Alligator mississippiensis: one gene and its partners. The protein of the gene in region 1 purifies or fractionates together with the protein of each later gene. This does not show direct contact. Links are inferred from orthologs where the notes say so. Each region holds a gene or a part of one and is shown in the gene's direction. Other genes may lie near its edges.

The links.
Region 2: the proteins of POLR3D (region 1) and protein POLR1D purify together in Homo sapiens (affinity purification with mass spectrometry; 6 studies listed by BioGRID and IntAct, counting the BioPlex papers as one, with this or other methods). This does not show direct contact. The link is inferred for Alligator mississippiensis from reciprocal best matches to the Homo sapiens genes POLR3D and POLR1D.
Region 3: the proteins of POLR3D (region 1) and GPN3 purify together in Homo sapiens (affinity purification with mass spectrometry; 3 studies listed by BioGRID and IntAct, counting the BioPlex papers as one, with this or other methods). This does not show direct contact. The link is inferred for Alligator mississippiensis from reciprocal best matches to the Homo sapiens genes POLR3D and GPN3.
Region 4: the proteins of POLR3D (region 1) and POLR3GL purify together in Homo sapiens (co-immunoprecipitation; 4 studies listed by BioGRID and IntAct, counting the BioPlex papers as one, with this or other methods). This does not show direct contact. The link is inferred for Alligator mississippiensis from reciprocal best matches to the Homo sapiens genes POLR3D and POLR3GL.

Annotation. Positions count from the first base shown.
Region 1 is NC_081830.1:21,616,515-21,623,497, forward strand, and holds the start of POLR3D (DNA-directed RNA polymerase III subunit RPC4), read left to right. Parts: upstream 1-3,979; 5' UTR 3,980-4,057; intron 4,058-4,679; 5' UTR 4,680-4,692; coding exon 4,693-4,857; intron 4,858-6,439; coding exon 6,440-6,483; intron 6,484-6,732; coding exon 6,733-6,884; intron 6,885-6,983. UniProt on the Homo sapiens protein: DNA-dependent RNA polymerase catalyzes the transcription of DNA into RNA using the four ribonucleoside triphosphates as substrates.
Region 2 is NC_081824.1:428,177,664-428,185,314, reverse strand, and holds the start of protein POLR1D, read left to right. Parts: upstream 1-4,642; 5' UTR 4,643-4,724; coding exon 4,725-4,750; intron 4,751-7,651.
Region 3 is NC_081833.1:2,186,070-2,193,989, forward strand, and holds the start of GPN3 (GPN-loop GTPase 3), read left to right. Parts: upstream 1-4,905; 5' UTR 4,906-4,987; coding exon 4,988-5,035; intron 5,036-6,111; coding exon 6,112-6,220; intron 6,221-6,938; coding exon 6,939-7,106; intron 7,107-7,217; coding exon 7,218-7,342; intron 7,343-7,920. Other genes in the region: DENR (density-regulated protein), read right to left, coding at 335-354, 1,650-1,755. UniProt on the Homo sapiens protein: Small GTPase required for proper localization of RNA polymerase II (RNAPII). May act at an RNAP assembly step prior to nuclear import.
Region 4 is NC_081838.1:17,886,271-17,893,210, forward strand, and holds the start of POLR3GL (DNA-directed RNA polymerase III subunit RPC7-like), read left to right. Parts: upstream 1-3,927; 5' UTR 3,928-3,994; intron 3,995-5,609; exon of another isoform or gene 5,610-5,954; intron 5,955-6,252; 5' UTR 6,253-6,310; coding exon 6,311-6,433; intron 6,434-6,940. UniProt on the Homo sapiens protein: DNA-dependent RNA polymerase catalyzes the transcription of DNA into RNA using the four ribonucleoside triphosphates as substrates. Specific peripheric component of RNA polymerase III which synthesizes small RNAs, such as 5S rRNA and tRNAs.

The DNA of each region.
Region 1 (6,983 bases):
AGCATGGAGGAGGAAAAAAAAATCCAGGCCTTCTCCGCCAATCGGCGGTCAGGCTGCAAAGCATCAGGTGATGAGCAGCCACATTCCCAGCCTGGCTTCCATGAGCTGCAGGGACAGCAAGGAGAAATCAGAGAGGCTTTTCCCAGGGCGGGGGTGTCGCACCAACAGCAGGAGCTGGCGTGGGGAGGGGAGCAGGGCTCGGGGGCTGGTTGCAGAGGGGTGACAAATGTACATAGGATGGAGACAGCAGGGCCAAGTGATGCCCAGGGACCCTTGGGAGAATGGGACGGCTCCCCAGAATGAGCAGGAGTTGGATATTGGCCTAATGTACCCAGTGTAAAGACGAGGGCACCCCTGGGAGCCCCTCACGTCTGCAGCCAGGCCAGCCCCTGGTGACAGGACTGCCAAGCTGGGACCCTTCAACTTTCCCCACACTTGCAAGGAGATTGTATTTGCAGCAGGCACCTCTGCAGCGTGGCTGGGTTGGGGACTGTGGTCTGCTAGGCAGGCCAGGGAATGTGGCTGTCTGCCTGGCTTTGTGGTGGGTGCAAGATCCAGTGGTTAGAGCTGGGGACTACAAATCAGGGGTTTTGGGGTCCACTCCCAGCTCCAGGGCAGAGAACGGCAGAGGAGGCAGCGTGTGGAGAGGAAGGGACAAAAAGTCCGGACTTCTGGGTCCTCTTTCTGGCTGTGGAGGGGATTCTGGTTAATGCAGTTTCTCAGCCTTTTCAGGTCAATGGTCTCATATTCAAAGCCAACACTTTGCACGTGCACCCACCCCCACCCCCTTTCCATTTACCTTAAAAGTAAAGTGCACACCCATACTAATTATGCAAGCCTGACATGGCTCTTTGGGGTTGCTGTAAACCACTCATGCTTGAAGAGGAAGGGTGTGGGCTGAGTGCAGGGTAAGATTTTCAGGTATCCAGGTTGTAACTGTATTGGTCTAGAGGCAAAAGGAATCAGAACTCATGGCAGAGGTGATATCTTTTATTAGACAAACTCGATCTTTGCAAAAAAATTCTTTAAGATGTTCTGTCCTCTGTGTTGTGATAACATTATTAAGACCTTACCACCTCCCTGAGCCCTCTCTTGGTGGTCCAGACTTCCCAGCTGGGAACCTCTGCTTATTGCTGCATATCAGCCTGGCCTCAAGGGCCTTGGTTCTTGCCTCTCAGCTCATCCCAGGCAGCTAAGATCAGCTTGAGTGGACAGTGCCCAGCAGGCCTTGTCCAGGAGGCACACCCCACAATCTGGATCATCAGCCTTCCCCTGATCTGACTCAACCCAAGTCAGTGACCTTCAGGGAAAGTAGAAGAGCCTTGTGTGTCCTGCCAGGCTGTCACTGGAGGGGCAAGGAGGGAATCAGACACAAAGCCTGCTCTCAGATGCACCGAATAGCCCCACTGGCATTGGAGTTGCCCCTGCTTTAAACCAGTGTAACCTCTTGCGGGCTAAGATCAAGTAGTTTCTTTAAGGCATCCAAATCCCAAGACCTCCAGGCTTGGGCCTGCACGTAAGTTACTCCCAAATCCATTGGCAGGCATCGGAAGTCCCAGGGTGAGAGCCTGGGACGGAGGATGCTTGCCAGTAGCAGCGCCATACGGCTGTGTTTAGAACAATCGAGCCCTGCTTGCTCAATCAATATGGTTTTGGGGACAACTGAATCCTGCTCAATTGATGTGATTTGGAAGCGATTTGTCTGATTTGACCTGGAACACAAAATATATTATTAAAAAAAAACCCCATAACCTGAGAGCAAGACCGGATGGTCTGCACAGAGGACATGGTTAGCTCAGCAGCAGAGAAGCTCAGATGTCTCCAAGACCCTTCAGGCATGAGCTTGAACCACCCAGCAGTCTTCTGCCAGAGGCTGCCTGCAGCCAGCCTAGCTGTGGATAAATGCCCAGTCTCTTTGCTGGGGATCAGACGCATGATGCGGGTCACGTGAAAAGTGGGGCACCTTCCCCATGGGCCATCTGCATGGGCAGCTTGTTGACTGCATGAGGAAACCTGCACCATCTTCTCTCTGCCCAGCCCCTCACGTAGTTAAAAGCCCCTTAAAAAGGGCAACACCAGAGCAGCTTGAGGGTAGGGGAACCTCCCAGGACCCTTCTTTGTAAAGGGGAAGAGCGCAAAACATGTAGCTGTCTGCCTGCTGAGGCACAAGTGGGCGACTTCTCAGCTGCTATAAATCAGCCCCGCAACATTGAACCAAGCCCAGCTACGCGTGTGTTTTACCAGGGAAACAGTTTTGAAAAGGATGAGCCAAGTGCTGTAACCGTGGAGCTGTGGGAGATGGCTGGGGGTTTAGAAGAAGCTACTCCCCATTTACGCACGGAGAGGTGAAATCAGCCCTGGGCCCACGCACCTATTTCTAATCTAACAAAAGCCTGAGCACTGGAGACAATAGGGATCCCTGTTCGAATGCCACTCCTGATGGGCCTCGAGGCCACCGGCAAGAACAAAATGGAACAAAGGAAGTGGTGGCAGAGCTCAATACATGTCTTTTGCCAGAGATGAGGAGGTGCGTGCTAAACTTACAGCCCACGATTTTGAGCAGATCAGACCCGGCTGATTGCTCCTGTCTGTGGGTGCACCAGGCACCTCAAGAAGTGAGGATTATTCAGGCCCTGTTGTTGGAGGGAGGGGACAGACACCAAAGCAAGAGATGCCAAGAGAAAGCAGCATCTTCAGCACGTTGCTTTTTGCCGGCAGCTTTGCTGAGCAGTGGCTGGAAGAGCAGAGCCTCTTGTTTCAGAGGAGCTGGTCTCAAAAAACACCTTTACCGTTACATGTGAAAATGAATGTGATGGCAACAACTGAGTCTAACAGGGGCTGTTTTTTTTTTCCCTTGGGCCTGGCCAGTTGCCATTCATTGCTGGGATATACTCCCTCCTGAAGAGGTGTTAAATTAAAACCCAACAACACTTGATTTTTCCATTTTCACTTAACACCTGCGGAGGTGAAGTTGCACCTGAGGCTGTTTCCTAGCAAGCAGCAGCCACTGGCACCAGCCAGGGAAAGTTTTGTTTTTAATAGGTCTCAGGCATGATGTTCAAAGCAGTCTCTGATTTATTTATTTTTTCCAGGAAGCAATGGCAGGCCCGGTTTTATGAGGTAAGTAGTTGGAGATGGCACACTTTGACATCTCGCTGTGGCTGCATCCGGGTATCGGGTAATTGGGCATCTAAGCACTATGTATTGAGTGCTTGTGCAAAATTGGAGCCGCTGTGAGATGCGTGTGCAGAATTGCAGCTGCACATTTTGCCAACCCCAAGCACTCGCACGTCACGAGCTGCCTCCCAAGCACTTGAGATTGGCCTGCACGGCGTGAGATGGAAGAAAAACAAGGGATTTTTTATCTTTCCTTCCCTCCCCCGCTTCTTGCCTTCTGGTTTCTCAGCTTTTCATGTGCTCTCAAGGGAACGAGGAGCATACTTTTCCTTTTTCTTTTAAATGAAGGCTGAGAGTCTCCTGAAATTAGCCTCCGCCAGCGGCAGGAAGGAGCAGGGGGACGTGAAAGTATCACGAGCTGATGCAATATTTATGTGTGACATGGCTTGTGATACAAAAACAGGATCGTCTCCTACGCAGGAGAGCGACGAGGGGACGGGAGCAGAACTAGACCCTCCGGATAAGAGGGACAGCCCCGAGCCAGGCGTGAGGGCCCGAGGCCAGGGGCCTGCAGGGCAAAGGAGGACAGGTGCAGTGGAAGGCTTTGCAAGCCAGCCCCTGGCTACTGGTGAACCCAGGAGGCTGAAGGCCAGGCCCCCTGGGTGCTTGCTGCCCCCAGCAAGCCCCTGCTGTTCTGCCAGCTCCCTGGCCCTACAGCCGCCTGTGCCCTTCGCAAAGATGGCGGCCCCCGTCGCCGCCACCGGCCCCTGACAAACATGGCGGCGCCCTTGCTCGAGAACGCCCTTCCCAAACATGGCGGGGCGGGCGTCCTTCCGGGTTTTGCCCTTCGCTAGGATGGCGCTTGCGCTTCTACGCATGCGCGGGGGAGTTCAAAGAGGAATCCTGGGCCACGGGCTTCCTTTTGCTGCTGCCGGGCGAGGTAATGGGGGAGGGGACGGCGAGCGCCATGCGTGGGGGCACCCCTATAGCCTGGCCGGTTGTATCCACGACCCCCACCATGGGGCCTGTATAGTCTGGGCTTCTATGTCCAGGGGCCTGTATAGCCTGGGTTCCTAAATCCAAGAGTCCCATTATAGCCTGGGGGCCCTATAACCTGGTCCCCTATAGCCTAGGTTGCTGTATCCACGAGTCCCACTATAGCCCGGGGTCCCCTATAACCTGGGCTCCTATATCCAGGGGGGCCTATAGCTTGGCCCTGCCTAGCCAGGGCTCCTATATCCAGGGCCCCCTATAGTGTGGGGCTTTGCTGGGGATGGTCCCCTCCGGGGCAGAGATCTGGGCCCCTACGGCAGCTCCGGGGCAGGGCTCCTAGCCCGAGTCCCCCTCTGGCCTCATTGGGGCTCCAGCGCAGCCCTCGCTCGTGTCTGGTTCTCCGGGTCCTGCTTGCCCCTGGTGCACAGCATCTTGCTGCTCGTCCTCCCAGCCGTTGCCCTCGGCCTGCCATCTGTGGGGTGCAGCGAGCTTCCCCCCCTGTGCTCGCGCCATGGGCCGCAGGGCAGGTCTCTGGGCTGCTGGGGCTCCAGCCATGCGTCTCTCCCCAGGTCCTCTGGGAGGATGTCGGAAGCAGGGTCAGGCAGCGATGCTGGAAACGCGAGCAATCTCCGCCCGGGCCTCTCTGGGCCCCGCGGGCTGATCGGGAGGAGAACTGCCACCCCTATTACCCCCGGGAGACTCCCCTCCATCCGCTCCCGAGACCTCACTCTTGGAGGAGTGAAGAAGGCAAGTGTCCCTTGTTCTGGGCAGAAAACTGCCCTCCTGGCTTTCCTTAACCACGCAAATGGCACACGGGAGAGCATGGATCAGACCGCCACGGGGCCTGATTTTGTGCCCGCAGCGCTGGCCCATGGGCTTCCAGTGGGCAGACTGTGGTGCATCATGCAGGTGGCTTGCTCGATACCATCTGGCCATGAAAGAAGACGTGAACCCTGCACCAGAGGGTTTGCAGTTGAAGCAGATGTATACAATGCTGTCCCAGTGGCAGGGACGCTTGTTAAATAGGGGATGCTAGTTGCTCTTGGCTCATTTGAGCATAAGGGTTTGGACACGTTACATGCTTGCTTTGGGTGGTGGCCGTAAATGTGTAGCAGAGGAGCTACTGCTGGGAAAGGTGGGAATAATTATACAGCAGAGGATGGATCGTGCATCCACAGCCTTTATTGGGGTCACCTTGGAGGTGCCCGTGTGTGCTGTCTGCTGCGGACACCAGTGTAACTTCCCTGGGTGCACAGACCAATGGAAGTTACACCACTCGAAGTACATGGTAGGCTGCCCGCTTCTGAAATTAAAAGCACTACAGATGCAGCAGGAAACTGTCTGCCTGTATCTCATAGTGATGTAAATAAAAGGTTAACTCCTGGGGATAGCAAGGAACCTCGCTCGCAGGCCTGCTTTTGGATACTTATCCATCTAGATTGGCTTGCATCTTTCTCTGATGCACTTGAGAAAGCCAAGGAAGTGTCCCATACTAGATAGGACAGGGTTGCAATGGGTGTGGCTGTGCCTAGGCTGCATAGTGTTGGGTTGGGGGGCTCTGCAGACCAGAGCTCTTTGGTTCTTTTCTCGACCCTGACATTGTCTCCTTTTGCAGTTTTAACCAAATCCCTTAGGTTTCAGTTTCATTTCTGCCTCTAAAAGGTGAGGCAAACACCTTGGTCACTGTCTTTTGCAGCAGGTTTAACTAGTTTGTGTTGGAAGAGCAATTTGAAAGTAGGACGTACGTAAAGAGAATTGTCCTGAAGGAAGGGGCAGCCTGGAACTCCCTGCAGTGTTCTCTGTGGTCTCTTTTTCAAAGGACTGATGCCTGTGGGAGCGAGTTGTGTAACTGGGCCTTGTATCTTCCCTAGAGGCTTTTAGGCTGGGGCCTGTACACGAGTCAGGGTCTGATGTGCAACCAGCCTGGCTGCATAAGACACTTCCTCCCCCCGAGCCATGCCTGCACGTAGAGCCAGTTTTTCCCCAGGAGAGTCTGATCCTGATAAGACATTTGGAGACCTGCAATGCAAGATTATTGTGTATGTGGTAAACTGCATGGCCAGTGCGGGGAAAAAAACGTGCTGGGCCAGGATAAAGCAAGGGGCTTATGCAAGCTGCCTTCACAGGGCAAAATTTCAATCAGGAGCCCAGAGCCAGAATGCTTGCAGGTTTTGTGGGCACTGGGCAGGATCTGACATTGCTTCCAGATTTCAGCTGCAGTGTGTGTGGTCCATTGGTTCAGGCCAGCCCACAGCTGCATATTTGGTGACTTTGACTTGGACCTGGCACTTCCTTAATTGATGACTTGCTCTGTTGTTTTTGTTTACAGAAAACTTTCACCCCCAACATAATTAGCAGGAAGATCAAAGAAGAGTAAGTGGCCATCTTATGCTTTCTCTGTGGGGTGGAATGTCTTAGTCTTAAGAACTGAACGTGGACTGGCTGCTGTCCACTGTTCATCAGATACCACGTTCCACCCCAGGGGTGGCTGCATCTTAACAACACAGATAACTTTTAAAGTACTTTGGAATTCATGTAATGCAAATTGGGAGGCTGGCTAATTACAAATGTATTAGAATTATGTGGGGGTTCCATCAGACAAGCTGTAAACTCTTTGTTCAGGCCAAAGGAGGATGTCTCCATCAAAAAAGAGAAGAAAGAGAGAGACCGGGATCGGCAGCGTGATGGCCATGGGCGGGGCAGAGGCAGGCCGGAGGTCATTCAGTCCCATTCCATCTTTGAGCAAGGCCCAGCGGAAATGATGAAGAAGAAAGGTATGAGGAGAAAGAGAAGCATGGGCCGCTGTAGCTGCAGGGATGGTCACAGATGCTGTTCTCACTCTGTCTCCCCTCTGCTCTGTTTGTCCTCTTTGA
Region 2 (7,651 bases), on another chromosome or scaffold:
GATCCAATTGACACTGGAGACCAATACATAATCAGTCTTTTCAGGTACAGTAAAGAAGTAATAAGTTTACGTTTTATGAAACGTAGAGCAAATCACTGTGTACAAGAATCGGTTCTAGATTCTTGCTTCAAATATATTTTATTTTACCATCTTACCTTCAACGTCACAATAAGAAAATTCAGGCTCCCCTAACCAGACTACAATAGGTAGAGAACAGAATTGCAACTTGTTTTGGTCTCACTTTCTTAAAATATTGACCAAAAAAAGAGAGAGAGAAACAACTACTTAAGAGTGGTAGTACAAGATGTCATTAAAGTGTTTTTACAGAAACATGAAGTTCTGTGAACTGAAGTTACAGAAATGCAAAGTATAGCTTACATCTGAAGCCTCACATGCTATACGCTTCTCCTCACCAGCCTGCATAATTATACCCATACAGATATCATTTTTTACTATCTAATGTACAAGTTATATGAAAATTTAGAACCTTACTATGTGTGTTTGACATATAGAAATATAGATTACCATAAAAACTTTTAAAAATGCCTAGTTCTTCTACTGTGTAATTAGCTGGATGGAGCAAACTGAGCACCCCAGATCAATATGCTACTTCCTTGAAAGAAACAACCGCACATCTTTTTTTCACCAAAACTCCTGTAAGGAAAACGTGGATTAACACCAACCACCATTATCTGGGGAAATAATGGTATTAATTAAAATATATGTAAAAATAAAGCATTGTAACTATTTCTAACGTAAGCTAGATCATATCAAAAACACTTGAAGTAAAGAGCAGGACATTCATATTATTGAGAAAAGTCCTGAAAGTACCATGTCAGCTCATATGCCAGAATGTTGCCTGAATTAAGCTAATACCACCCAGAGCATAGCTGCAAGTTGGAAAAGCGTCTAGGCCAGCAGTTCCCAAACTGCGGATCACAACCCCAAATGGGGTTGCAACATCATCAGATGGGGTCATGAGGGTGGGGGGCTGTGGGTTGAGAGTGAAAGGCCATGTTGAGGAAATGGGGCCATGAGTGGGGTCATGCTGAGGAAGAGTCTGGGAAGCACTGATCTAGGCACTGGCATTCACATTAACCAATGCGATTCCAAACCAGAAGTTATATATCCATATCATATCCCTACCAGAGAACGCACACTTCATAAAAAACATGAAATGTTTAATACCAAAACACGCAAGTGTTTAATCTCAAACTTTACAGATATAAATCCTGATCTGCAAATATGTATGCACAAACTTAAAATGAAATGCAAAAATAGTCCCACCGACTGCAACAAAAAATGCAGTTAAATTTAAGTGCATATATAAATATTTATAGTTAAAGCCATAAAAATCCTGCATTACAACTTTATAGTTCTCTATCGCACTGTAGAAAGCATGACCCAACAATTACATAGTGGCATTTAAACAGATTGCATCTTAAAAAAGGTAGTAGACTTTCTAAACAACAAGCTCTATTGGCCTAATAAAGCAATTAAGCAGCATATAATTCAATGATATCATATTAACAAATTGCTTTACAATCATTATGAAGCTTTCAAATATCAAAGGCAATTCACTGGTTACAAGGCTGGAATTTTTGCTTCCTCTCATCTTCTACACCAAGTATGGGAGCATTGCTTTAAGTGAGTGCTGCTTTCCTTTTAGTTACAGATGTTAACATCTAATAACTCCTAACAAGAGCTACATTTTACAGATTCCTGAAATTAATTTAGCTTTATCCAGTGACTAAACAGACAATCTCCATATGTTCCACTTCTAGTTTAGGAGGGAGATTATCAATACTGCTCTCCCTTCTGCACTGTCAGGTTCAAACAATGGAAGACATTTCTTAAAAGTGTGAGAAAATGAAGCCATAAAAATTAGCAGGGGACTTAGGGACCTGACCTACTTTGCTTGCTTTCTGAAGCATATTATATTTCAGTTAGACAATGATGCTTACACCAGAAGCTAATCAACTTGGGGATGGGGTGGGGTTAGCAAATAAGTTCATGATATAAATATACAAGTATGTGCATCAGGGTCTTGGCACAGGCTGCTCTGGGCAGGTAAACCTTCACTGACATCAACCGGACTTCTCTGAGCAGACCCCTGCACCTGTGAGAACAGTCAGCAGTATCAGAGTCCGTGTTTTTGAAAAATGAAAATTAAGATGTTCATATTTAAATAACATAATGCATCTTTCCGCAACAAACACCAGTATGTGGTGCCTAATCCTCTTGCAAAATTGTTACCGTTTCACTGAAAAACACATTGATTCATTTTAAATGGACATTAGGCTTGTAAATTATTGACAGGACATGTGAAAGTATTCTATTGACTTCTCTAGCTGGGGCTGAATTCAAGGGTCAAGGTTTGGCCTGCTTGAGTTGATGCAACTAAAGCCTAAAAAAGGATGAACTGTTCAGCAAGTTAGGAAGGTATTACTAGATGCATTGATTTTAAATAATTTATTTGTAATTACTAATTATATCAGTGGGCTGTAGTAATTTTAAAAAGGCAAATAGGTTATTTTTATAAATCATTCCAGTTCACCATGCAATGTTTTCTTATCTAACAGTTCTGTGCTAACCAGCTGACTTCCTCCATAATTGCTTGTAAGCCTATTCCAATCCTTCTTTTCCTGAAATACTTCATCAGCTAATACAGCACCAAGTAGAGGGAGACAGGACTCCCACTACTACTCCTCAGAAAAGTTATGGTAGTAGTGCTTTATTAAGCCACACTAATGTTCCTGAAAGGAGATGTATACACCTTGGCTCCATTTTGAGGAAATTTGTTTTAACAAAGCACAGCAACATATGGCACCAGCATCTTTATTTTGAAAGTGGGTAGGGATGCTAACTCAAACCATCTGATGTTTCTTCCTAAGCCTCCTTATCTGCTGTCAGATTACATGCTTAGGGTAAAACATCAGCAAGCCAAAAAGAAGTGGGAAGAGGCATAAGCATCAATCAATCAACTTATTTAATGAGATGAAGAGTCTAGCTCAGAATAATTTCCCTTTTTAACAGAAGGCCAAACACACACATTTATTTTCAGACACTATCATCAACCATATCCTGGGGTTAATCCGTAACAGACATTTTTACTTTGTAGAAAGACAAAAATAAACCCACATTGTAATGTAATTAAAAAAGGAATTAAACAAGGCTCAGAACTGCTTAATAGTGGATTTCTACTGAAGTAAACAATCCAATGGTATATACATTAGCAACACAGTAAAAAAAGTCACAGAGGACTGTCATATTTGCCATGGGCACATCCAAAATTACCAGTTCGCTACACTGCTGATTACTAACTTTTCATCAAGAGCAAGAATGACTCTGAAGTATCCCTTATTACAGATTTTTCACAGATAGAAACTAATGAATAAAAAATAGGGCCTTTGTTAGAGAAGAGAGAGTGAAATTTACTCTTCTGAAATAACTGTCTATTATAGATGCTTCGAGGTGTACATTTAGCTATGATTTGCTATGGTAGGGTTGTGAAACACATAACCTGAACCCAACTCCTATAACAGGGGCTTGCTTGCAGCTGTTCTTTCTTCCTCCCACACACACAGTAATTCAACTCCTCCTCAGCCCTTAGAACTCTTTCATAAAATTACATCCGAGCGGCATACACGTATTTCAGTAACAGGCTGAATAAATACATCCGCAGTCAATCCCTCGTACACAAGCCGAAACACAAATATCAGTTTTGTTGCATATGCAATTTAGGTTTCAGTGCAGCCTTCAGCATATAATGACAGCTCAGGTTTGGGAAAAGAATAGCTGTAGCTCTTCCAGCCTGCAGCTGCAGCCAGCAAATACCCACTCCCCTCCCTCTGAGCAAGTGCAGGACCAGAACCACCATGAAGAAACCTCATTTCTGTGCTGGAAAGGAGGAATGGCAATAGGCTAGGAAAAAAAGGATGAACCCTTTTTTCTCCTCACACCTCTGCAACCATGATGCTGACTGCGCCTGGAGCAATGGTCAGGGATGCAAAATAAAGGGGGGGGACTTTTTTTTTTTTTTTTTATTCCCGGCACAATATTAAATGTCAGACTGGCAAACAACAGGGAGGCAGTCCTGTTTATTCAGGGCTTCTCCCCCTGACCGGAGCCCAGCGTGGGAAGGGTTCCGGCTCGGGGAGCACATGCGGAGGTGCCTAGAGGGGACTCGCCCTCCCCCCGCCGGCGGCAGCCGCCTGCCCCTGCCCGCACCGCGGTCTCCAGAGCAAACTTGGCTGCGCCCGAGCCCGCCCCATGCTCCTGCCCGCCCCACACTTGTTGCAGCGCCCGCGGTCCTCCGGCAGCTCCGGCCTCCCCGCGCGGGCCAGGGCGATGCCCTTGCTGGGGGCCGGGCGGGAGAAGACGCCCTAAGCCGAGCCGGGAAGTTACTCACCGCCACGGATGGCTCGTCCGCCCCGGGCCCGGGGGCAGCTGTCCCGCACTGCGCGGCCGCCCCGGCCCCGGCCCCGGCCCCAGGGCGTGGGGGGGAGGAGCCGCCGCCGCCGAGCCCCGGCCACCAGCGAACCCCGGGCAGGAGCCGACGGGCCGGGGGCGGCACCGGGGGGCGGGGACAGCCGGGCCCCGCCCCCATCGGCGCACGTGGCAGCGTCGCCCCGCCCGCGGAAGGGGGCGTGGCCCGGCGGCACCCCGCCCCTTCCCCGGCCGGCCTCGCGGTGCTGCAACCGTCCGCGGGGGGAAGGGCCGCCATGGACGAGGACCCGGAGCTGGAGCGGTGAGAGGCGGCGTTGGGGGCGGGCGGGCGCGGGCCTTGCTCCTGCTGGCGCGGGGCCCCGTCCTCTTCCCCTTCCCCTTCCCCGTGTGGCCCGCCGCGGACGCGGGGGCCTGCCGCAGCTCGGGGCCGGCGGCTCCGCGGCCTGTGCCGCCGGGCGAGTGAGGCCTTCTCCTGTCTGTTTGTGTCTTCCGCAGACCAGCGAGGCCTGCTGCGCGCGGGCGCGGCTGGGCGTGGAGGGCACGAGGGGAGGTGGAGGTTCCCTCAGGGGAGTGCGGAGCGGCCTGGCCGGCACAGGCTCGCGGGCCGCGTCTGCCCGAGGTTGCTCCTGTCGCCCTTGCAGCCTCCGGGCCGGGCCCCGCGCTCCCTGGTCCTGGTGCCCTTTGCTTTCCTCCCACAATTTGTCCAGGCCCTTTGTGAATGTGGCTGAACTGTCGGCTTCCCCCGCGTGTGAGGGCAGCAGGTTCCCACTTGCATGACTTGCTGTGTGAAAAGAAACTTGGTTTAATTGGTTTTGAACTCGCAACCTGCTAGCTTCATTCTGTGACTGTCTAGTTCCTGTCTCGGGAGAGTCGATGATCTGTCCCTGGTACTGTCTGTTCACCATTTACTGGTCTGTAAATCCTTCTCGTGCCCCCTGCTGCAACCAGCTCTTTTCTAAATTGAATAGGCCTAGGCTCTGTAGTCTCCCCCCTTGGGAGAGCCCCTCCATACGCTAACCATCCTTATTGCTCTTCTCTGGGCCATCTCTAGTTCTTCTGCCTCCGTTTTGAGGTGTGAAAACCAGAACTGGGCACTGCATTCAAGGTGTAGATGCACCACGGATTTATAAAGCGGCATAAGGACACTTTCTGTTTTGTTTACAATTCCCTTCTTAATAATCCCTCGCATTTTGTCTGCCTTCTTGATGGCACCAAGCTGATGTTTTTATCCAGCTGTCCACAATGAAAGGAAATGTTCTGCCCTGTCATCATGGTCTTTGCAGTAGAAAAATGGCTCTGTTATTTTTTGTAGTCAAAGAATGCGAACATAAGCGTTGGCATTTTCTGAGAGATTCTTTGCGTCTAAAAAGGTTGAGAGCTGCTGCTTCAGGTGTCCTGACCCTAAAAGTGAGTTCGCTGTAGGCAGCCCGCTTGTTATCTATCCTGCTGCATTCTGGAGAGCAGTGTATTGGAGAGGGCATTCAGGTTTTTAATGAGAAAAAGATATTGCTGAATTCTGAACTTGACTGTAGAAGTGACCTGTGTTACCTGGAGGGCTGTTTCACTCCACCTACCTGATCCTGATTCCCTGGCTTGGCTATGATTAGGCACCTATTGAATTCGGGATTTTCAAGAAAACCGCAAATTCAGTTGGTCCCCGTGAAAAAGCACAGGGACTGAGAAAAGGTACAAAATCAGCAGCAAGTTGGGCGGGGTGGGGGGGAGGGCGGTTGCAAAACCAGAAAAGGGCGGGAAGCCCTGGCATCCTGAAGCAGGGTGGGGGGGCAGGGGGAAATTTTTGCAGTGGAGTGTGGTGGGCTGCTGCCCCCTACATGCCTCTGATTGACTGAGGGGGCCCTGGAAGTCTTGGCAGTCCTGGAGACTAACAGATTGCCATCTATCAATTTTCAGGAGCAAGAGGACTTCCAGGGCCCCTTGGCCAATCAGAGGAATACGGGGTGGAGGGTGGCACTGCAGAAATGGCGCCTGGCCCTGTACTCAAACTGCAAAATCAGATAACAACTGCCACAAATTCAGTAGGTCCCTAGCTATTATCTACCCCCACTTTACTCTATCCATTCTCTGTCTTGTATCCTGTGAATAGTGAGGTAATTAGCCGTGTTAGTTTGAAGTCAGGCAGAAGACAAGGTAGATTTGCACTTCATAGACTAACTGTTCTAGTCTATAAGGTGCAAATCTACCCTGCCTTTTGTATTCAAATCACTCTCACTATTTTTACATAGACTGCTGTGTGCATGTCCTTTCACAGCACCTAATGAAGTATGCTCAAGCTTATGAAAGCTTATGCATCTCTGGTGTAATTAGCTCTACTCTGCCATCTACCTGACTTAACAGTAACATGTCTAAGTACAAGTACCTCTCTGTGATCTAGCAAAAATAACACAACCATCAAAGGTGAGAGAGGTATGCACAGGAGACTAGTCTTGGCAATATTATTCTTGAGGGGTCTATGAAGAAACATGTGTGCATTAAGAATACAGCGCAGAGAGAGATTTTTAGTCCGTTGAGGAAATGTACTCCTGTACAATGAATAAATAAAAATCAAACCTCCATACAGAATGAAGAAAAACGGGGAAAGGATGTCTTCTCTGTTCACTGTAAAATACTAGTGATGCATACTGATAGCTGTTCTAGCCAAGCTTTGGAAATCTAATTGATCATAATGCAGATTGAAAATAAGCTTCGGGTTTTTTAGTTCAAATAAAAAAAAAAAAGCCTAATACCCTGACTTTTTATTGATGGATGCGCTAATAGATAGTTAATGTCACCCTGTCATAGTGTTGTGGCAAAATTGACTGCAGTCATTTTATCAGAGAATAAAGTGACTGCTATTCTGCATTTGGTTGGGATGAGATATTCATTCTGCTTTACATATTGAATTATGGCACTTCCAAGAGAGTGCACTGAATATAAATGTATGTTTATTTGACTATCCAGTCATAATAGGTCTCTTACTTTTTGGTTTGGAAGCAGCCTGCATGCGCTTACCTCCTTGGTGAATCTTGTTGGCATTACACACTTTATTGTGAGATTGCCTGGGAAGAAAGACTACATAGTTTACAGCAAGTTATCAACACTACAGCTATGCAGAATATGATAGAATCATATCTGAGATGACAGTCTAATGATATTCCTGTTAACCGTCATAAAACAATTACAGCATGGTCCGGGGCAATGCAGG
Region 3 (7,920 bases), on another chromosome or scaffold:
GCATGATGCACAGGTAGCATTTTCTCTCACCGGACTGCATGTGGGGATGGGAAACAGAAACTAGCAACACGGGGCTTCTCCAACCCGTTTGGGATGGGGCTTTGTGCTACCTCACAGGAAGCCAGAGAGTTTCTTAGAGACCAAGAGGTCCATTTGCCAGCCAGCTTAGCTGCCTCTCTGCTAACCGATTAAACCTAAAGCAGCAACTAAATCTGTATGGTCTTCAACCAGATACCAGCTGTGGCATGGAAATCAAGAGGAAGTACGGTAGGCAAAGCAGCGCTGTCGGGACACCGAGGGGAAAACAAACTCAAACAACACTGAATGAACTCACCTCCGTTGGCAACGAGCAGACTGGGGAAGGAAGAGAGAGATTGTTAAATTGAAATGTCCTTGCTGCGTATTAAGAACAACCCCCTCATCCTTCTAGTTTGGACAGCTTCTCGCGCCATTACCATGACTTCTTACGCTCGAAGGCAGGGCAGAGAAGGACCTTTACGAGCTAAGATATATAGGCAGAGCATAAGCTTTTGCGAACTCAAGTTCACGTCACCAGGTGCTGTGCTACCTACCCCGTCTTCCGACTTGCGTCGGACTGAACACAACTACCTACCTCTCCCTTCTCACGTTACCCACACTGGGCTGCTAACGAAGCAGAGCACAGGCCTGCGGTACTGACCGTACCTCGGAAAAGGCAAGTTACCCAAGTTCACGCCCCTCTGAAGTTATCTGAATTACCATCTACTAAGTCACGTCCTGACGAGAATGAGACTCGTGTTGCAAGGTGTTCACCAAACCAGCATCAATTTTCACTGTCTTTTGCATTCAAGCGGTTACCTTTCCTTGTCGATGGAGCCCAGTAGTAGCAGCACAGGGTAAGAGGAGCAAAAAACCAGTGACAGCGATGATACAATCTGTGCTCTGCAACTCTTTCCCTATTTTGCTCTAATGAAAATGCATTTGCTCAATCTGACGGTCCTAAGTTCAGCCTTCAGAGAAACCGATGCGCACTGCAACACGGAGAGCGGCGCGCTGCAAGAAGGGACGGCGAGACCCGGGCAGGTGTTGCCCTCCTTAATTGCACGCTAATAAGGTTTTCAGGAACGAGCCTCGCTGTGTCGGTTTCCTCACGCGCAGGCGGCACCCAAGACTGCTACAACTTCGACGTCTGCGTAAGACTAAGTCGGGATCCGAGTCTTGGCAACCTCACTTCGGGGGGTCTCCTCCGAACGAATTCAGCAGCTCCAACCTCGCTCGTCTGGACTTAGCTTTATACGCACGGTATCCACCTTGAAACCTGGCGTGTCACGGGCCTAGCCAGAGCAAGTAACCCAGAAGTGTGAGCACGGGACTCCCCTTCAGGCGCAGAGTCGCGGCGATGTAACTCTGGACTGACCACCTCGCCTGGGCCTTGTCCCACGGGGGGCCTGGCCCCCTTGTCTGCCACAGGAGGCGCTGGTTATGACCACGCTCCCACCGTCACGACGTATGGAACTATGACCTCACTCCCACCGTCACGACGTATGGAACTATGACCTCACTCCCAGCCCCGTTTCCTCTCTGGCCCTGACGCCCACCCACGGCCCCGGCCCCAGGGGCAGCAGCCCACGTGGTGGGGTGCGGCCGAGCTGCCTCCCCCCCGGACTTGCCTCCGCAGTAAAGGACGCGCAGGGGGCAGTCGGCGTCCGCCCGGGCGCTGCTCCGCGGGTCCCCGCGGCCGTCGGGCATCGCGCACTCCGCCACGTCCGCCGCCATGGGCCCGGGAGCGAGAGCGGGTCAGGCAGGGAGCGGGGCGGCGGGTCCCAGGCCGGAGCCCGGCGCGCAGAGGCTGCTCACCCGCGCGGCCCCTCAGGCCGCAGTGAGACCGGACGAAGCGGCTGCCTGGACCCCGCCGCACCACATGCGACGTCCCGCGAGAGCAGCGGCCTCTCGCGAGAGCTCGGAGGGGGCCGGGTGACGTCAGCGAGAGGCTTGCTCGGGGAGGCGCTGAGGGCGCTTGGGTTAGGTTTGTTTTGAGCCTACGCGGCCGCCGTAAAAGAAAGGCTAAATGAAGCTAAGCAGGGTCGCGGAGGGTCCTCCCCTGGAGGGGAGACCTCAAGAAGGCCCGGGCACAGCTTGCAGTGAGTGCGGGCGGGGTGACCCTCAGGGCCCCTCGTGCTGCCTGTAGCCTGTCCACGTGCAGCTCCTCCCTGAGAAATGCCCCACAAGCAAACTCTGGCTGTGCCCATTTTACAGATGGAAACTGAGGCAGGGAATTCCATGCCACTGCTGAGACCCGGGGCATGTCCATCAAGTGAGGTCCAGCTCTGCAAGCGTGTGGGCCTGAGGACAAAGGCAGACAAGTGTCTTTGGCTCAACTGGTACCCGAAAACTTGCAAAGAAGAAGTTTTCCAATTATCTGAGTCGGTCTAATGAAAGAGATCGGATTGCCCCGAAGAGCCTCGTCTGCCCAGGTCCACAAAGCGCCTGCCCACGGGTTTCAGCAGTCCTTCGTGCTTGCACACGCGTCGTTCCTGAACAGCGACACTGCCAGAGGCAGCTGGGAAATGACTGAGGGTTTTTTTCTCCCCGTAAAAAAAAAAGTCATTAGAAAATTAAACGTTACATTTTTCTGTGAAATGTTTCAAGTCTCCATGAGACAGATGAAAAGGGAGGGTTTTTCTTTACATTTATCGTTTAGGTGAGAAGACATTTGTACAGGAAAAAAACTCTGGATTCAAATTTTGATCAGCTCCGTTAGCCGCGTGGTTTTCACCACGAGGTGGGACGCGACGCTGGATGCTCTCGCGTTCGTCGTATGACGCAGACCGCCTGTCGCTCGGTTCGCCTCCGAAAAGGGTGATTTGAGCCAGTGAGAGCAGTGGGGGAAAAGGCTTTAATGCACAACAGCAAAAGAGCTTCCCTTCTACCTCTGATCGAGTGCAACCCTCCCGTCGCACGCTTTACTTGTACGTTAGTGCAACTCCGGTGAGTTCAGTGGAAGACATCCTGATTTCCACCTGTGAAAGTGTACCAAGAATTGGGTCCAGTGACTCAGACCCTGAGGTGCTAACAGTTTTCATTCCAAAAAAAGCGCCGATCGCTTTGATGGGAATTTTGCCTAAGACCTAGGTAAAGATTTCAAGGTTTGGCCCCACATTTTACTGAATCCTAGAGAAATTTAACATTTCTCCCCTTGTTCCTTTCAAGGTCATTATCAGACCCTACACATAAACTATGACCACCTTTTACCAGACAATACTTCAGCAAAATTTAAGCTGCTCTGTCAAATTAAGTGGTTTAACATCTTTTAATGTGTATTGTGTATATGCCATATACAAGCCGTCACTCTTTGTGCCCGGTAACTTCAGCAAATATTTTTCTCTGAGATAAAAAGTCCTTTGTTTCTTCCTTTTGTGCGTGAACAGTCCATTTTGGAGCTTTGGTTTTAGGCATCTGTACAGCTCGATGTGTAGAAGGTGCTGATTTAACTGTTAAATGGATATTTTGCTGTTCGTTATCATTAACGTTGCCTCGATGATTGCTGTTGTTTGAGCCGTTTCTTGAGAAGACAGGTGACCTTCAATGCACGCAAGAAATCAGTATTACACGGAGTAACTTCCCAGAGAACAGGGGACGCAGAGTTCGCTGTGTAACTCCGCTGACTTCAGTTGAGTTACACCTGGAAGAGTGTGTCTCTTTGTGAGTATCACACCTACCTGTACCCTTCCCTGTGCTTGATGACGTCCCATAGTCAAGCAACGTCTTTTCATTAATGCTCTTGTATAACCAACGTGGCAGATTTTTGCAATGCTGCACAAATAGCGCTTGCGCCCTGTTGTGAGGTCTGGATGCTGAAACGGAGACGACGCGTGAGAAGACTCCAGAGATCCGTATCTTACGCTTCTCCCAGTATGATAAGTAGCATACACAAAATAGTTTTTACTTTTGGAAAGGTGTAAAGGTTTGATTTCATGAGAGGCTGCCCTATACCTTACAGTAAATAATAAGTATCTTTTGCAGGTATATATGGTCTCGCATCCAGTGATCTCAAAGCACCGTAGAACATGGATAACTGTTGCTAGCTGCATGTTCAGATCATTAAACTGAGAAATAATTGAGACGCAGTGTCCACTAACTGTAGGTATCCAGCCCAGGACACTTGGGTCTGACTTTGAAGAGATGCTGAGCACCAGCAGTTCCCATTGATTTCGCTCACAGCTGTGGGTGCTCAGTTCCTCTGAAAATCAAGCGTCCTGCACTGGGCACCCAACGCCAGTAGATGCTTTTTTCAATTTTAGGCTATGTGACTTGCCCAAAATATCATAGGAAGCCTGGCACGGTGCCTGTAACCGAAGAAAGCCGGTGAGGCCCTGTGACGCACCACCTGTAATGCTACGTCCTACTGTCAGTCTTCAAAACCAGGCTTAGCAGGCGGTGCCCATCATTCCCAAACAGCCCATTAAATCCCCCTGGCTAAACACTGGTTGGGACGCACTGTTTTTCATCACTGAGATTACACTGGACTCCCCTGATTTAATTCACGTGGGGCAACTTTTGGAGCTGTTCCTGTTTTCAGGCGGTTCGTATTCGAACAAAGCTTTCCCGGGCCCAATTCCCGAAGTGCGTGCTCGTGGGGAAACTTCTCAATGTAATACTTCAGTTCAGTTCCTACAAATGTTTTCTGGCGAGAGAGAGCGTGCAAATGTAGCCATCAGTTTTGCAGGAACAAAACCCAGTAGTGCAACAGGCGGCTCCATCTTTCTGCGCTCTAAACACACCAGCCCCGCTCCTGCTCCCCCGGAGGCGCGAGGACCAGGGCGCACGTGCTCCTCGCGTCTGCGCAGGCGCGGACCGCTGACACTCGGAAGCGCGCTCCGTGCGCCGGCCGTTCTGAGCCTCGCGGCGCCCCGTCGCCCGGGTCCTGCCTGCTACGGCAGAGCGGCGGGGTCATACTTGTGCTGTTCGTCTCGCCTCGCGAGCCCGCGGGAGCGGGGAGCCCGCAGCCATGCCCCGCTATGCCCAGCTGGTCATGGGCCCGGCGGGCAGCGGGAAGGTAGGTGGGGCCGGCCCCGCGGGGGGGGCGTTTGGGTGTGATGGGGGTGGGGGTGGGGTATTTGAGGTGAGGGGGGTCGGGGTGTCTGAGGATGGCAGGACTGTGGTTGGGGTGTCTGGGGGCAATGGGGGGATGGGGTTGGGGTGCATGGAGGAGCAGGGGGGTGCCTGGGGGGGTTGGGATTGGGGTACTTGGGGTGAGGGGAGGCGTGGGGGGGCTGGGGGCAGTGGGGGTGATGGGATTGGGGTACTTGAGGCGTGGGGGTGTGGGGTGTCTGGGGGCAATGGGGATGTGGGGTGCCTGGGGGTGACGGGGTTGGGATTAGGGTATTTGGGGTGAAGGGAGGCGGGGGTTGGGGTGTCTGGGGGCAATGGGGGTGTGGGGTGCCTGGGGGTGACAGGGTTGGGATTGGGGTATTTGGGGTGAAGGGAGGCGTGGGGGGTTGGGGTGTCAGTGGGCAATGGGGGTGTGGGGTGCCTGGGGGGTGACAGGGTTTGGATTGGGGTATTTGGGGTGAAGGGAGGCGTGGGGGGTTGGGGTGTCTGCGGGCAATGGGGGTGTGGGGTGCCTGGGGGTGACAGGGTTGGGATTGGGGTATTTGGGGTGAAGGGAGGCGTGGGGGGTTGGGGTGTCTGCGGGCAATGGGGGTGTGGGGTGCCTGGGGGTGACGGGGTTGGGACTGGGGTGCCTGGGGGAGGAAGCGTGGGGTGTCTGGGGTGGGGAATGGGGCAGTGAGGAAGGGGTGAGGGCCTCTGGCAGGCCTGCGCTGCCACGCGGGGGGCCGCGCCAGCGGTGAGCAGAGCAGAGCAAGGAGTCGGCTCTCGTCCAGAGAACCCCTTGAGTCAGGCTGGCGAGCTCCTTCCTTCTGCAGAGCCCGGAGGGCAGTGCAGGGGCAGCACCGGCCCCACTGCCCAGCAGCAGGAGCAGGGCATGGAGGGGAAGCAAGCACTGGTCACTGGTTGCTGCCAGGACACTAGACGTGGGGCCTGGGCATGGTCATCGCTGTCCTGTGCTTCGCCATCATGCTCTTGCCTCCTGTCTTGGGTGCCACAGCGGTTCATGACTTTCCCCCGCAGAGCACATACTGTTCGACCATGGTCCAGCACTGCGAAGCCTTGAACCGCTCCGTCCAAGTGGTTAATCTCGATCCTGCAGCAGAATACTTCAACTATCCCGTCATGGCAGGTGAGCTGTGCGGCACACATGTCTTTCCTCTGTTCTCAGCAGCACCAAAAACAATCAAGACTCACTGATTCCTTCTTCACTAGAACTGAGTTCTTGCACCTTTTAATGAGGCATAAGTCCCATTCAGTGCCCTGAATTTGCTTTATATAAGAACATAAGAATTACCATTTACTGGGTCAGACCGTAGGTCCATCCTGCCCAGTACGTGTGTCACGCAGTGGAGGGTGGATGCTGAAAGGGAGGGTGAATGCCTATTCTAGTTTGATATCGCCTTCCAGATTCTAAATCGGTTTTAATTTAAGTGTACTTTCTCAGGGGGGGTGTGCATGTACCTACTTAAGGATACAGAGGCATCATTTGCAAGACTAGCTTTCCTGATGAGCCTGCGCAGCAGTTAATGAGCTTCTTGGAAATAATTGGTTTTCTATGTTTTCCTGGTGTAGTCAGTGAGCTCCTGGTGGGGTTTTCCATGTGCTAGCACAGGGGAAAGCATTTGGGGAAAAAAAAGCGGTGTTTTAAAATCAGAAACATATGTAGGGTGACTGGGGGAGGAGGGGGTAGTTATAGTGTCCCAAACTACTTTTAACTCAGGTTTTTAAAAACAATGAGATCTGGAGTTCATTTTAAGAATTGCGTGTGTTGTAGTAACTTACCTTGGAATTTATGCATTTAGTGTAGTAAGCATACAGAAAGCCTTGATGCATAGCTCTTGTTCCAGATATCCGAGAGCTGATCGAAGTGGATGATGTTATGGAAGACGACTCTCTAAGGTTTGGTCCAAATGGAGGGTTAGTGTTTTGCATGGAATATTTTGCCAATAACTTTGACTGGCTGGAGGAATCCCTTGGACACGTAGAGGATGACTATATACTCTTTGACTGCCCAGGTAAGCTAACATTTTGCTTATGTGATACATAATTCGTGACATGTATTTTTGTCCTTGCTGTGCCTCTACATTAGAGTTACATTCCTGCATTTTAATGACTGTGTGTCCTAGGTCAGATTGAGCTCTATACTCACTTGCCAGTGATGAAACAGCTGGTGGAGCAGCTGCAGCAGTGGGAATTCCGTGTCTGTGGAGTTTTTCTTGTTGATTCCCAATTTATGGTGGAATCGTTTAAGGTATTGGCTTCAAATCTATAGTAAACATTGGGAAAAAAGCCCTACTATAATAATAAAAGACCATGAAATCTGAGGGAATGACTTGCCATGTTGCAAAGCAATCTGAAATCTCTTCAGTCAGAGAAAAACTGCGTGTTTCTGCTTTGTTAATGTCCTGTGCCTGGAATATTGTGTGTGGCCTCGGAGTTAGAGTGGGTGTCTGGGAACTGTTTTTCGGGGGGGGTGCTAGTCCCCCATCTCAAACTGACTTGCCATGTGGCCTTAAGTCAGTCACTTCCCTTCTGTAACCTGAAGAAAATTAGTGCTCAAAAAGTCCAGAGAGAGAGAGTTTTGTATGGAGAACTTCAGATGTATTAGGCTCCCATTAGAGGCTGATTCATGTGGATGGTCCTGGGAGATGCCTCCCTCTCCCAGTAAAGACACTCATCTTACTGGGCTCTGTGCCTGGATGCTGTTTCCCCTGCTGTGTTCCATATGATAGTTTATTGCCTGTCCACTAAAGTTTCCTGCATGTATGTATGTCGGCCTGGGTATGTAGGAAAAGATTAGAAAGGAAAGCAATTATGGGGAAGGAGGTT
Region 4 (6,940 bases), on another chromosome or scaffold:
ATGATTTCCTCCAGCCCTTTCCAAAGCATTGAGTGCATGAAGGGAACAGGTGAGATACAGCCAAGGGTTGGCAGGGTCAGGAGATTTTCAGGCAGATGTGCTGATGGGCATGTGCCTCTGCATCCAGCGGAGCCTGTGACAGGCAGCCTGCACACTTCTTCACACCTGCCTTGCACTGTTGCTATGGTTACCCTGCCTAATTATATTCCCTCCTGCTCTTTGCCCCAAGTTCTCAGCCAACCAGGTGGCAGCGGGGGGAAAAATCCATTTCCTTCCTAATTTGTGAGCCTTTGATTTTAGCCCAACTCTGTGACAGCAGGATTTAAAACAGAGTTACTGTCACTGCGGCATTATCAGTAGTGCTAGGTGCTGTACAGCCCCTGCTTTGTAGTGGGACAGTGATATTGGCTTGGGGTGTGATTTTTTTTTACTGATGCCGCAGTCCTACCCACTAATGTAGATGCGGCTACACTGATATAAAAGTGCTTATTGCACTATGTAGGTGCAATGGCTGAGGAGTGGGTGTCCAGCTGGTGTAAGTGTAGGGGATGCACGAAAGGGCTGCATACCCCTGAATGCAGGAATGTACATGCCCATAGGCACATCCACCTGGGAGGACTTGGCTGGCACTCTTGGACCCCAAAAAGTCTATCAGCGCCAGGCGCACTGTCTTCTCACCGCTGTGTGTGCTGAGCTGGTCTGGCCCACCCCAACCACTGACTGGGACCATGAGTTTAATAAAGCAGCACAAGGGTCTGCAGGACCTAGCTGGGCAATCCCAATCTCCCAGGTTTCAACTCCTGCAGCTCTGAGCCCTCCTGCAGTGGAGATGCTCCAAGGGGCCCCAGTGCTTTTGAAAGTGCATGGGACCAAACCCCTTTGGAAATCCCAGATGACATCTCAAGCAGGGGAGAGAACTGGTCCTTGAGGTGAACCATGAAGCAGGGGAAGCTAGTTGGGGTGGGGGAAAGGGCCACCTATCCCTTCCCTGATCTTTCTTTCTTTCTCTCTTTCTTTCCCATCATCTTTCCCTTCCTTCATCCTCCTCCCTTGGTTGCCTAGGCAACTTCACAGCTGGGCACAGTATCCCAGGGCGACGGTCCTGCTGCTGAGCAAGGATAGATCCCAGCGCCCTGGAAACGGGAGGTGGGAGCGAGGTGCCTCTCTCTCCCTCTTTGCATCCCTGCACAACCCAGATGCAGGTGGTTATTTTGGGGTCGAGTTGGCTTATCCTCTGCACCCCCCCACCCCCAGCTCCTGCATTGCTATTTTTGGGCAGCACCAGGGAATGAGATGAATCACTCCAGTGCACACAGCCGAGGAGCTGCTTGAAAGCATCACGGTGGGGGGGTAGGGGGGAGGCTGGCATTGGGAGGAACCGTGGTGGTGCCTCATTCTGCTCAGAGGGGCTGGGGGCTCTGCCGCCCTAGATAAGGAAGACGTTTCAAGGGACAGAAACCCCCTACCCTGGACCTGATCTGGTGCTTATACCAATACCCACCACCATGGTATCTGTGGTGCTTATACCAATACCCACCAATTTGTGGTGCTTATACCAATACCCACCACCATGGTATCTGGGCACTTTATTGTGATCTCGAATGTATTCACCTTCACCCTCTCTGCACACCAGGGCAGTGCCATCATTCCCCCTATCCCTTTTTGCACAGCAGGGTTAAATGAGGTGTCGAGGCCACGTATTGGCCCTTGGTGTCAGAGCTGGAACTTGATCCCAGTTTTCCTGACCATGAAGCCAGCTTTTCTTTCCCTATTTCCCTACAGCTCCTTCCATTCACTTGGATTGGAAGGACTAGCTTAAATGTAGACAAAACTCTGGGGTTGGAGGTGATATCTTTCATTAGGCCAACTAAATAGTTGCAAAAAAATGTTTTTGCAACTATTTAGTTGGTGTAATAAAAGATATCACCTCTACCCCAAGAGTTTTGTCTGCTTATGTCCTTAGACCAACACGGCTACTCCTGCTACAGCTTAAACATAGTAACTGACCTCTCAGGGCAAGGGTCAAGCAGGAGGTGGTGTTGAGAAAACATCATTAGGACAGAACATCCCCTAACAGCCAGATCCAGGACTTCAGTGCCTTGGGCTGGCAGGCGAAGCAACTAGCTTTGGTGCTTGGAGGAAGCAATAGGAGAAAAGCCTGGCGGAGGAGGGCCTGTAACTACATCTGCACAGCTCCCCTTTGCTTCGGCACTGACCCCAAACACAGCCAATATGTAAAGCGACCTCCTGATGGCTTTGATCTCAGTGCAAAGCTTTGCCACAGACTTCAGCAGAGTCAGGACTTCACCCACAGGCATTTCAAGGGCCGGAGCTCCATGTCACCCCATGACCCTGGTAGGGTCTTGGTGGAAAGGATCAAGGCCGAGTGTACCAGTGTTCCTCTCCTGGTGCTCTCTCCTTGGTGAGCCTATGCCCCCCTCAGCTGCCTGGTGATGGGAAGTTGCAGCGGAGGGAACAGAAGAGGCAGGGGGGAGCTTGGTTATCTGCAGGCAGGAGATAGTTTAGCCTCCCTTTGATTCCCCAGGTAAAAATAGCTGCAGCCTTCCTGGGCTCATCTCCTGCGGTTACCCATTAACCCTTTGCTGGAGCTGGCAGTACACTAACAGGCCGAGGCCTCCTGCTAACTGGACAAGTATATTTGGGGGTGCTGTGCTGGCCAGCAGTGCTCCACACCCCCTGTTCTACCAGCCCTGGGGTCCCTGCATGCACACCTTCATCAATGGCCTTCAATCCTAGCCCCAAGGCCTTTGCAGGCAGGCGGAAGCAAGACAGCAGGGAGCTCAGCAATCAGAGGAAGAGGGGGGAGTGAAATTTCAGCAAAGAACAGGGCATATGGATGTGCCTTCCTGAAACCATCCCTCTCTCTGCTATTTATATCTGTGCAACTGTGAGCAGATCTGGCTCCCAAGATGCGCGTGTGTGAGCGTGCACAGAGGAAGAGGTTCATCCTTATCACTGCTCAATATTAGCAAGAACAGAATAGCCTCCTGCATCAGACCGGAGGCCCCTCCAGCCCAGTTTCCCGTCTCCAAAAGCAGCAAGTAATTAATGCTTTAAAGAATCTGGGAATTAGCATGTGGGTAGCGATACACCTTCAGCCTGACCTTCCCAGCCACCGCTGGTAGGACATGGGTATGTATATCCCCAGCTGCTGGGTGTAATAGCCCCTGATGGACCCGGCATCCATGCATTTGTCCAATTCAGTGGTCCTCATTCTTTTTCAGACTCGAGGCACACCTCAGAAAATGTCAGCTCCGAGTCTTCACTTTATTTTTGACGACAGAAAAATCCTGGAGCAATTCTTCTGTTGCAAAGACCTCAGCAGCTCCGAATGCTCTTTGGTTTCCTCTTGCGAATCGCGCGCACGCACCTAATCGCACTAACGTGGTGCGGCACTCTGCAGCCCCTCCGGGCAGGATCTCCAGGCACCCCACGGCACTGCAGCACCCTGGCTGAGAATCACCAATCCCATCTCACGCGGGATTTGTCCGTCTCGCCCCTACCCTGCAGCCACGAGGGAGCAGTAGGGGTCCATCAGGGTGCAATAGGTGATTCAGGGGGAGTTCCCTTTCCTTGCGGCTGCCCTGGCCTAGACTCAAGAGCAGCTGGTTTCTTCCACTCCACAGCTGGCTTTGCATCCACCTCCCCCCGCAGACCTACATACATCCTTCCCCACAAGCCAGCAGGGGCACATATACAAATACCGCCCCCCATCAAAATCAGCAGGGACTGTGACACGCCCCCAAACCAGCAGCGAGGAAGAGCCCTTCCCCCCTCCCCCCCAACGGGTTCCGCATTTATAGCCCTTTCCCGCGCCGCCGCCCCGCCCTCTCCTGTTACGTCACCCGAATGGCCACGGCGCGCACCAATGAGCGCCCGCCGGCCCGCCCCGGCCCCGCCCCTTGGAACGCGCTGTATCCCGGGCTCGCGGCGGCCACGTGCGGAGCGGGCGGGGCCGGGTCGGGCTGGGCAGGTAACGCGCGGTTCGGTTGGGCCCGGTCCGGCTCGGCGGCCCAATGGCAGCGTCGCACCCCCGCGGCCGGGGCCGGGGCCGGTGCTGGGGCTGGGGCCTGCTCTGTGCAGCCCGCGCTGGGCCCTCCGCGCCCGGGGGCTGCCTCGCTGCTGCCGCCCCGCGGGGGCACTGCGGGTGCGCACCCGGCACGGAGCCTGCCCGGCCTGCGCTGGGATGCCAGCTCTGCCCCAGGGGGCCCTTCTCCGGTTACACACTCACGTTCTCCAGTCGGGACCCAGGAGGGGGGCAGTGGCATAGAGGCCCAGGGAAGGGGGCGCTCTGCATCAGATGGGCAAGTCCTGGGCTTCTGGGCTTTGCTGGTTGCCCCCCTGCCCCTTTCTGCTACACGGGTCAAGGTGATGATGAGGCTCCCCCAGAGGCTGGGGATGGGGACTGGGCTGTGCCAGTGCTCCTAGGCACCAGGCCTGGAGGGGCCTGGCTAGAGGCTTTTGCCCCATTGCTTAGGATCAGACTGATGCTGCCTTGGTGTCAGGAAGGGATTTTACCCACTGGTCAGATTGGAAAAAACGGGGGGGGGGGGGAGAGTTACCTTCCTCCGTAGTGGGGGGTATGGCCTTCTACCTGGGATCCCTGGAGCATATATTGCTGGCAGCTCACAGAAACAGGATGTCAGCGGCCATGGTTCCCTTCTTCCCCCGTGGCAGTTTTGGGTGTGCTGTCTTGTGTCGGGGTGGACAGTAGCCTTACATAACATTTAGATTTCATAGATTTCATAGACATTAGGGCTGGAAGGGACCTCGGAAGATCATCGAGTCCAGCCCCCCGCCCAAAGGGCAGGAAGTCAGCTGTGGTCATAGGATCCCAGCAAGATAAGCATCCAGTTTGCTCTTGAAGGTGTTCAATGAAGGCGCTTGAACGACCTCCGGCGGCAGGCTGTTCCAGACCTTGGGGGCTTGGACAGTAAAGAAATTCTTACTTATGTCCAGCCTGAAACGGTCTTATAGTAGTTTATGACCATTCGACCTAGTCGTCATTCCTTGGGGCGCTCTGGTGAACAAACATTGCCCCAGATACTGGTGGTCACCCCTGATAAACTTGTAGGTGGCCATCAGATCACCCCTGAGCCTGCGCTTTTCCAAGCTAAAGAGTCCTAGGGCTCTCAGCCTGTCATCGTAGGGTCTGCTTCCCTGACCTCTGATCATGTGCGTGGCTCTTCTCTGGACTCTCTCAAGCTTCTCCACATCCTTTTTGAATTGTGGAGCCCAAAACTGGACACAGTACTCCAGCTGCGGCCTCACTAAGGCCGAGTACAAAGGGAGAATGACGTTCTGGGATTTGCTTGAGAAGCATCTATGGACGCAAGCCAGCGTTTTGGTCGCTTTGCTATCTGCAGCATCGCACTGCAGGCTCATGTTCATCTTGTGGTCAATGATGACCCCCAAGTCTCTTTCTTGCATAGTGCTAGCCAACATAGCACTGCCGAGCCTATAAGGATGCTGCGGGTTTTTCTTCCCAAGGTGGAGAACCTTGCATTTATCGGCGTTGAACACCATCAGATTCTCATCCGCCCACTTGCTGAGCCTGTCCAGGTCAGCCTGGATCACCCGCCTGTCTTCTGGTGTGGATGCTTTGCCCCAAAGTTTGGTGTCATCGGCGAACTTGGCCAGTCCGCTTCTGACTCCAGTGTCCACATCATTAATGAAGATGTTGAACAGTATGGGTCCAAGGACAGAGCCTTGGGGGACCCCACTGGTCACAGGACACCACGATGAGTGAATGGATGTGTCTGGGTTGGTTAGGACAGGGTGATCCTGCCCCACTAGGTGCCAGCCCCCCTGCCCTGGGATTATATGACAACCTCCCTGGAGAGAAGTGAAGCATGGGTTGGAGACATCTCACCCTTCCCAGCCTGCCTCATGTGAACAAAGCAGCTCTTGCAGGCCTGGGAGTAGAGGAGCAGGTAGGACCTCCTGGGAAGGGAATTTTCAGCATAGCAGGAGGAGAGTGAGGTGGCATGGAGGAAGCAAGGCTAAAAGGGGGCTTGAAATAGGCTGGTTTGATTCCCTGTGTTTGCATCTTACAGCCTTAAAGGGGAGGATGAGAGATTCCTTGGGGCAATTTATGGCCAACTGTGCACACTAACTGCACGTTACGCCTGGGGTCTCATCTCTTGCCCTGGGGTGTGGGTTTCATGTGGGCAATGGGCCCTAGGAGGGTTCCCATGGGTTGTAAGGGGCTCTCTGTCTCTGCCCTTTCAGGCCTCGGCTGCGTTGGATCCCAGCTCTCTTATGTCTGCTTTGTCTCTGCCAGCGCATCATGGCAGGACGGGGCGGCAGAGGGAGGGGGCGGGGCCAGATGACCTTCAACGTCGAAGCTGTGGGCATCGGGAAGGGAGAATCGCTGCCTCCCTCGACCCTCCAGCCATCACCGCTCTTCCCGGTGAGGTCCCCTTCTGTGCGGGGAGGAACAGCAGGTGGGAGCTGAGGCTGTGGGAACCCTCCAGCCCCTTGTTTTCCCTGCTGAATATGCCAGCGCCATGTTTTGGCTGTGGTGTGTCTTCAGGGGGTAGGACAGACCCAGCAAACTCAGTCCAAGCCCCCAGGATGAAGCAACATTAGAAGTCAGAACATAAACAATACTCACTCTCCTGCAACAGGAGGACACCATCTTCTATGGATATATTTTCCCCCCCTGGAGTATGCCATTTTCCATGGATACTATCACTTATCGGAGAAGCTTAGGGCATTGTAGCCGAAGCACCTGGCTACCCCTTTCACAACTCATGAAATTGCAGGCAGCCTTCTAAGCAGTCTAGGGTAAGACTCGAACTCAGGCCTTCAGAGTAATAGCAAGCTGTTTTAGCCACTCTGCCACTGCATCCCACCATACAGACCTGTGCTTGCTCGCAAATACATGCACACAGCTCTATGGATGTACATATCTGTG